Linked DNA regions of Drosophila melanogaster. The gene in region 2 interacts genetically with the main gene of each other region. Each region holds a gene or a part of one and is shown on either strand. Other genes may lie near its edges.

Region 1 (3,752 bases), on a different chromosome or scaffold from region 2:
GAACCCAAATTGAAGCGCGTCACAGCGTCCGTTTCACAGAATGCTTTAATATTAAGTACTCACACAGCACACAGACTACAAGATACGAATAGATAGATACAAGATACAAAAAGTACAAGCGCATATACGCTTGGGATTACAAATATAAATACGTGTAGATCAGTCATAGTGAGTATTGGCGACGGCAAGATCCTGCGGAGTCTACGAGATGAACAGGTAAAGGACGAAGGTGCCCAAACCGATGTAGTGGCTGAGATAGCCAGCCTGCTGCCAGTGCCACAGGAAGGAGTCGCCATCCTCGCCGACTTCCAGGTCATCGCCCAGCAGCACGACGCCCAGATAGGCCAGGTGGAAGATGGCCAGCGCCGTGAATGCCAGATTAGTGAGCCTCGCCAGCCAGTAGGACAGGGAGTTCAATCGCCGTTTGCTCGGGCAGTGGCTATACCGACATCGTTCCTTGCCCGGACACAGATTGGCAGTGATGCAGGCATTCAGGAGGCTGGCGAGCTGCCGCCTGAGCAGCGATTCACCCTCGGCTAGGAACGCCAGCGAGATGAGCACCAGATAGATGCGCAGATCCATGCCGTGCAGCAGGCTGGACACCAGATAGGTGGAGAGCACGACCACCAGGATGCGTCCCCTCGAGGTGGACGCGGTGGGCTTGCAGGGCGCGTAGATGTACCGTTTGAGCCACTCGTGCATGGGAATGTTCCAGCTCCGGACCAATGAGCTGATCGAGCGCGGCCACTCGATGCGCCAGGGCTGCGAGATCAACGGACCCAGCATGTCCGACTCCTTGGTGGCACCGTCCAGTCGCTGATCGGAGGCTACCAGCAGCGCCTGCGCCATCATGCCCACAAAGTAGTGGCTGCTGCGCACACTCAGTGCGTCCCAGTACATGACCAGGAAGTGCGAGCTATCCCCGAAGAAGTCACTCAGCGCCGGAGCCACGCAATTGGACACGGTCACGGCCAGCACGCAGATCACCACGTTGGGCAAGAGGCGACGCAGGCTGACCAGCCAGCTATTCCGTGGCACCAGACAGTCCATGTAGCAGCCGAAGCTCACCCAGGGCCCCAAGGCGCAGGTGGCCGGACTGTAGATGTAGCCCAGGTAGGCAAACGGACCCGGAATCCTCGCCTGCAGCTGCCCACTGGCGGTCAGGTCGAAGCCCAGCGAGATAAGCTTCATATTGACCACCATCTGGATGCCGCGCAGCTGTGGCCAGTCACTGCGCCGCCGCCAAATGAGCAGTTCGTACAGGAACTGGCTGCCCACGGTTAGAACGGCCAGAACTTGAGCTCCTCTTCGTCCCAGTCGCAATAGCTGGAGCAGCAGGTAGCCCACGGCGGCCAGCAGGAGAAGTAGGAGCAGTCGGTAGCCCACCGTGATCTGCAGTATAATCAAGCCGCAGGCGAAGTGGAACAAATGCAGCGGTGCCAGGCTGGTGAGGCGTCTGCGCTGCGAGTAGAGGAGGCACAGCAGGCGGCACAGGAGGCAGAGGAGCAGCATGGGCGCCACATACTGCATGACCTGCAGCACAGATGGCTGCACGCAGCTCTGCAGGCTCTCGAGTAGGCGCCCGGCCAGCTCCAGGACACCGTGTCCATCTACCACCAGCTCCTCCTCCACATCGTCCCCGCCGAAATAATAGTCCTCCTCGCCGTTTGGCTGCCCAAATCTGTGGTCCAAGCTGCCGGCTGTCACCACGTCGTCATCCTCCTCCTCCTCGTCCAGATCAATGTAGTCCGATTCCTCCTCGAAGTACTGGTAGTCCATCGCCGGCCGCCCAAAGCCAATACAATCCGGGGGAATCAAGGAAAAACCCGGAAATCCGAGGACTTGGAATTATTTGCAAAGAATATACCGCGCAATATACCGAAAATACCACATCGGTGGCTTCGAACTCATAGCTAGTTTATAGCTAAGCTGAAAATACCAGTAGCTTAAACAGTTTTAAAAATCAAAATAAAAAAAAATGTATTAAACTTGTAAAACTGTTTGTTTTGTACACCAAGTGATGAAAAGGTTTTGTATCAGCTTATAGCTCGTTGTTTTTATCGGCTATTGAGTTGGCAGATTTCAGCGGATTTCCATTGCGTCTCAGCTTATTTAGTGATCAAGATACGGTCACACCGTATCTAGCAGTAAATAAACTATTTTAAGCAGTTTATTCAAATTTTTCGCTGCCAAATCCAGGAAACTCTATTGAAATGACTCGCCACGCACGTAACTGCACGGCCGGAGCCGTGTACACCTACAACGAGAAGAAGCGTGACGCGGCGGAGTCCGGCTACGGCACGAATGCCCAGCGCCTGGGCAAGGATTCGGTGAAATCCTTCGACTGCTGCTCCTTGACGCTGCAACCATGTCGCAGGCCAGTGATCACCAAGGATGGCTATCTATTCGACAAGGAGGCCATCCTGCAGTACATCGTGACCAAGAAGAACGAGTACAGCCGCCGACTGAAGGAGTACGAGCGTCTGCGGCGCGCGGAGGAGGATAAACTGAGCCAGGAGGCCAACAGCAAGCAGCAGGCGCGCATGGAGCGCTTTGTTAATGCCGAGAAGCCAGCGATGACACCCGCCCACTCCTCGGCCGCTGCCAGCGAGAAGCCGTCGACCTCTTCCGCCGCTGCTGCCGCTTCATCTGAATCCTCGTCCGCATCCTCGATATCCAACATGACCAACGGGCACGAGAAGAAGCTGCCCAGCTTCTGGCTGCCCTCCGAGTGCCCCAATGCCGGGTTAGCCAAGGCCCAGAAGCCCGACGCCACCATCTACTGCCCGGTGTCGCAGAAACCGCTGCGAGTCAAGGATCTGATTGATGTGAAGTTCACGCTGCTCAAGGACGGCGACACGAAGCGCTCGCTGATTGCCAAGGAGGCGCGCTACATGTGCCCCATTACCCACGACGTGCTCAGCAACGCGGTGCCCTGCGCTGTGCTGCGTCCCACGTGAGTGCTCGCTGGGATTTCGCGTTGAAAACCCTTTTAATAGTAACCTCTTCACTACAGTGGCGATGTGGTGACCATGGAGTGCGTGGAACGGCTGATCAGAAAGGACATGATCCATCCGCTCACGGATCGCAAGCTCAAGGAGAAGGACATCATTCCCCTGCAGCGAGTAAGTACATCGCGAACTGTGCAACTATTCTGCATTGCTAAGGTTTCTCGACTATTTCACAGGGCGGCACTGGCTACGCAACGACGAACGACCACCTCCAGGCCAAGGAAAAACGGCCCATGCTCCAGGCCTAAGACGAATTTATATAGCCGCCAGCTACTTGGGAGCACTTCAATAGAAATGTAATCGTTTTAGCACTAGCTAGTTTAAACAATCAATTATTTCTCCAGATTTTAAAACAATTGTGTATCATAACTTATACAAAACTTGGGTATTTTATCTGTTCCAATTCTACCTTTTCGTTTATTGCAAGACGAAGTGCATACATACTTATTGTTAAATAGGAAAAAACAAAATAAATACACTGATACTCGTACCACACAACCAATTAACCAGTAGTCCGAATTTCTATGGAAACAGCCCCGTCAAATGAAACCACTGCCAATCTTGGGGTTAAGGTATAATATTATATTCTTTATGTATAATTGTAACGTGTAATGTAAATTGAAGAAGCTGCAGCTGGCGGAATGCGGGCAGGTGGCCGAGTACGTCGTCTAGATACGTCGCTCCTGCTGGTGGCTGGTCGTCCACGTCCAGTTCCACGTCCACTAGGCCGCCTGCACCGAC
Region 2 (3,752 bases):
TTTTTCTTCTTCAGCACCATGCCCGATTTTCCGTTCTATTTTTGTGTGTCGCTGCTCCGGCATTCTCCTACCCATTTTCATTTCCATTTCCAAAGACCACAAGCGAACGAACGGCTGTGTATCTTCCAGATAAAAATGCAGCCGGGCGATTGCCTACATTTTATTTTCAACTTTTAGTTGTTCGCCGTAATTATTGGAAAAGGATGTGGGAGAAGCCCTTGACTCAATGAATTCGAATACACACATACACACAAATACATACATATCTGTGTGCGGGTGAGTGAACAATTGTTTGGGAGAAGGTAATATTTTAGATCTTCGGCCCAGATAGTCGTATGTTAATGGGAATGGCCTTCGATAAGAGGCCACGGAAAAATGAATAAGGAAAACATTCTGCATGGGTTAGTGGTTTTAGTGTCAGGTAGGTGGATATAGGAATGGATCATTATTTCAATAGTAAATGCAATTATAAATCAATAATTATATATTCCTAAGCGACTTTCTTCATATTTATAAGATATCTTCCTGCGAATCCCTGACTCACTCAATATTTCAATTTAATTTACTTGACTGTGGCCAACAAATTGTTTCCCTGAATGCTATCGCCCAGCTGTCTCTCCCCACGAGAGCATTAACATCCATCTTTTCCATATCTGCTGCCAACTATCTGGAAATTCACTAAACAAGTTGAGAACGCTTGGCTTTCGCTTACCTGAGAATTGTTTGTAGCCGCCGAGAATTTTATGCTTCCACCATTTGACAATGTTACCCGCCATCGCTGCCCGGATATATGTACCTATATAGTTCTATATATAAGCGGGTTGAGGATGCAGTTACTTGGCGGTGTCTTGGATTTTTCGGTGTTTCTATTTTCCGTTTTTCGGGCGGCGGTGGTGGTGGTTGGGCTGGAAATTTACGAGTCCTGAGAGGAGGAGACCTGCAGTATAGCAGCAGCCCAAAATGTTTTACGGCCCTTGTGTGTGCGTTCTGCGCTCCCTGGCTGGCTATCCTTTTGTGTAAGGATCTAAGGACTGAGACTAATATACTCCAGGTAGGAGGCGAGAGAATCCTCCGCTTCCACTTCCACAGCCACTTCCCGTTCCACCGTGTTTATGCGCTGCCGCTGGGCGACCTTAATTTGTATCTGGTATTATTTTCGACTGTGCGGGTGGCAAGTTACCAGTCGTAGTCGCTGTCGTAAAAGTTTTTACAGCTCTGATGTGCTGCATTTTAGTTTAATTTGCGCATATTGCGCTGCTTTATTTGATCTACGTGTGTGTATCTTGCAGATACTCGTACTCGCGCTCGCACTCGTGTATATTGGTACCTTTGTGCCCGCTGCGCGCGTAATTTTAATTGTAAAACATTTTCGCCGACTCGATTTGTTTTTCGCCAGCCGTTTTGTTGTTATTTATTCAATTTTTTCTTTTTGCTTTGCGACGACGTAAATAACTTGGCGTATAAACAACAAAAAACAACAAATGCAAAAACACGATTTATTTCCAAACGATTGCGACGAGGGCGACGGCGACGTCAATTTTTCGGGGGGTGGCGTACCGGTTGTTTTTGTTATTGTTGTGGGGGCGGTTTTTCGTTTTTCGTTTTTCCTTTTTGCTTTTCACACTTGATTTTTCTCTCCGGCTAGAAAATTAAAACTTCACTGGGCGTATCTCGCGGATACATTTATTCATTTGATCAATTTCCAATTTCAACGATAACTTCACTGGGCCACAACAATCCGTTCGGTCAGTAGTTGTTTTGGTGGGCCAAACTACGCGTATCTTCTAGATCCTTTCCGCTGTATCTCCGAGTCTCAGTTCACACGTCTTTTCGAATCAACGGACGAAAACAATCTGAATGCGAGTCGTTCGAGAATCGAAACATTGCCCGTTGTTCGAAACTCATCTTCGAGCGCCGCTCTTTCTCTTTCGAACACGTTCTCTCAATTTCGAACTCGAAATTTGTAAAGGCGTGTTATCTCTTTTTCTATTCGAAAAGGGTATGATGGAACTCTGGTTCATGACAAGCAACATATATGAAATGATATAAACAAATATTTTTCTTTCTTCTTTATCTTCTAAAAAACGATTCAAATTTTACCAGTAAAAAATTAATAAAATTTATTTATTTTTATTTACATTTTTTTTTAACCACTGCAAATACCATATGTTTTGTTTCAAATTTATACATTCACATTTATGGAGTATTTTCCTTTTAATAGCTACTAAGCTAAACTATACTAAAAATTCGAGTGATATATTTTCAGTGATTTTTCCATTTATAACAGAACGTTCTTAAATATTGCATACAAAGAAGCAATTATTAGAGCAACATATTTGATTGCAGCGAATGCCACGCCTCAAATTTAGAGCTTTCTTTTGGCTTACACCTTTCAAGCTGAATTTTGACTGGTAGTTACTGCCTCCACCATCGGTTTTTGATTATACACGTGTTTGGATAATACCCGGTTTTAATTTGCCTCTATGCATAGCCGCAGCAGAAAAAAATTTGATTGTTTTTAAATTTGATCTCAACCGCTGCCCCTGCCCCAATTTTCGCCACGCAGAAGAAGCCGCCTGCTGAGCTTGAACATCAGGGCAATTACCAACCAACCAACCACCAACCAAAAAGTAACCCCAAACCCAAGCTCAAACCCGCCGATAATAACAGAGCAAGGAGAATCCTGAATTACGCCGCAGAGGCAAAAAAAAAAATATGAAGAAACACAAAGCTCTTTCTTTCTCCGGCGATCGAAAGCAAGTGGAAGGAACCCGCGGTGATCGGCTTGCCTTTAACCCACTGAGGCCCAATGTGGCAACCTGAAAAATATTAGTGTATTTATGGAGGTAAAATATAATATTTTTGCATACTTCACATTTACTTAAATACGTTAAATAATATAGTAATAACTAATATCGTGTTAAATTTCTAGAGAGCTAGTAACTGAAACATCAACTGTGTACCTAGTCGATTATAAGATATTATGAAATTTCAAGAAGAGATTAAACTAACAAAACCTCCTTATATCTTGATGTTCCATTAGGCATTATATGTTCCTAATTATATTTGAACGTTTAGGAGGACCAATATTCTTATGTAGAACTTCTAAATATGTACCGCTCTCAAGGGGTTAACTTTGCCCTCGGGGTCCGCAGGCTTTCGCACCGTAAAACGTTTTCGGCTTTCGGTATAATGGCGCTGTAATTGAAGAAGAACACGCGATCGAACGGAGGGTGAGGGGATCGAGAAGGGGCTCCGCAAAGGCGGCGGAGGGAACCTCCTTCTAACAGAATGGTTTCGGTCTGGGTCTTGTCTCTCTCTTTGTCGGACCCTCCTTTGTGGTGCCTTCGTCATACATTGATCCATCGTCTTAATTTCAGGAGGAGACGCGCCGCGCGTCTCCTGCGCTCCCTACATTTCGGATGCGGGCCCCTGATTGATGTCGGGAATCTGTCCGCCCTGTAGCCGATGATATTGATTTATGTTTACTCCGGTTTCGCATCCGAACCCCAACCCCAGCACTTTGTTCTGCCGAATTTCGCACAACATTTTGCCGCTTTGTATTTGACAAAAGTCGGCGGACAGGACAGACGGGCTGCAAATGTAATTACCCAAAAACGAGTGGAACATGTCTGGCGGCCCAGCAATCCGGTGGGCGCGGTTCCTGTTCATATGTGACTGACCCACCCGACCGACCATATAAAGGGTTCCCTGACATTTGTCCCTACGATGACGATGACGATGACGATGAC

What was found.
Region 1: of nkd (region 2) and por, changing one enhances a phenotype caused by changing the other (phenotypic enhancement), as found in Drosophila melanogaster (one study listed by BioGRID).

The regions. Positions count from the first base shown.
Region 1 is NC_004354.4:18,377,975-18,381,726, forward strand, and holds the start of por (porcupine), read right to left. Parts: upstream 1,881-3,752; 5' UTR 1,780-1,880; coding exon 202-1,779; 3' UTR 153-201; exon of another isoform or gene 76-152; 3' UTR 1-75. Other genes in the region: CG6179 (uncharacterized protein), read left to right, coding at 2,214-2,956, 3,017-3,125, 3,188-3,259; betaCOP (coat protein (coatomer) beta), read right to left, coding at 3,734-3,752. UniProt on the Drosophila melanogaster protein: Protein-serine O-palmitoleoyltransferase that acts as a key regulator of the Wnt signaling pathway by mediating the attachment of palmitoleate, a 16-carbon monounsaturated fatty acid (C16:1(9Z)), to Wnt proteins.
Region 2 is NT_037436.4:19,043,592-19,047,343, forward strand, and holds the start of nkd (naked cuticle), read right to left. Parts: upstream 1,859-3,752; 5' UTR 777-1,858; coding exon 713-776; intron 1-712. UniProt on the Drosophila melanogaster protein: Cell autonomous antagonist of the canonical Wnt signaling pathway. May activate a second Wnt signaling pathway that controls planar cell polarity. Required for neuroblast specification.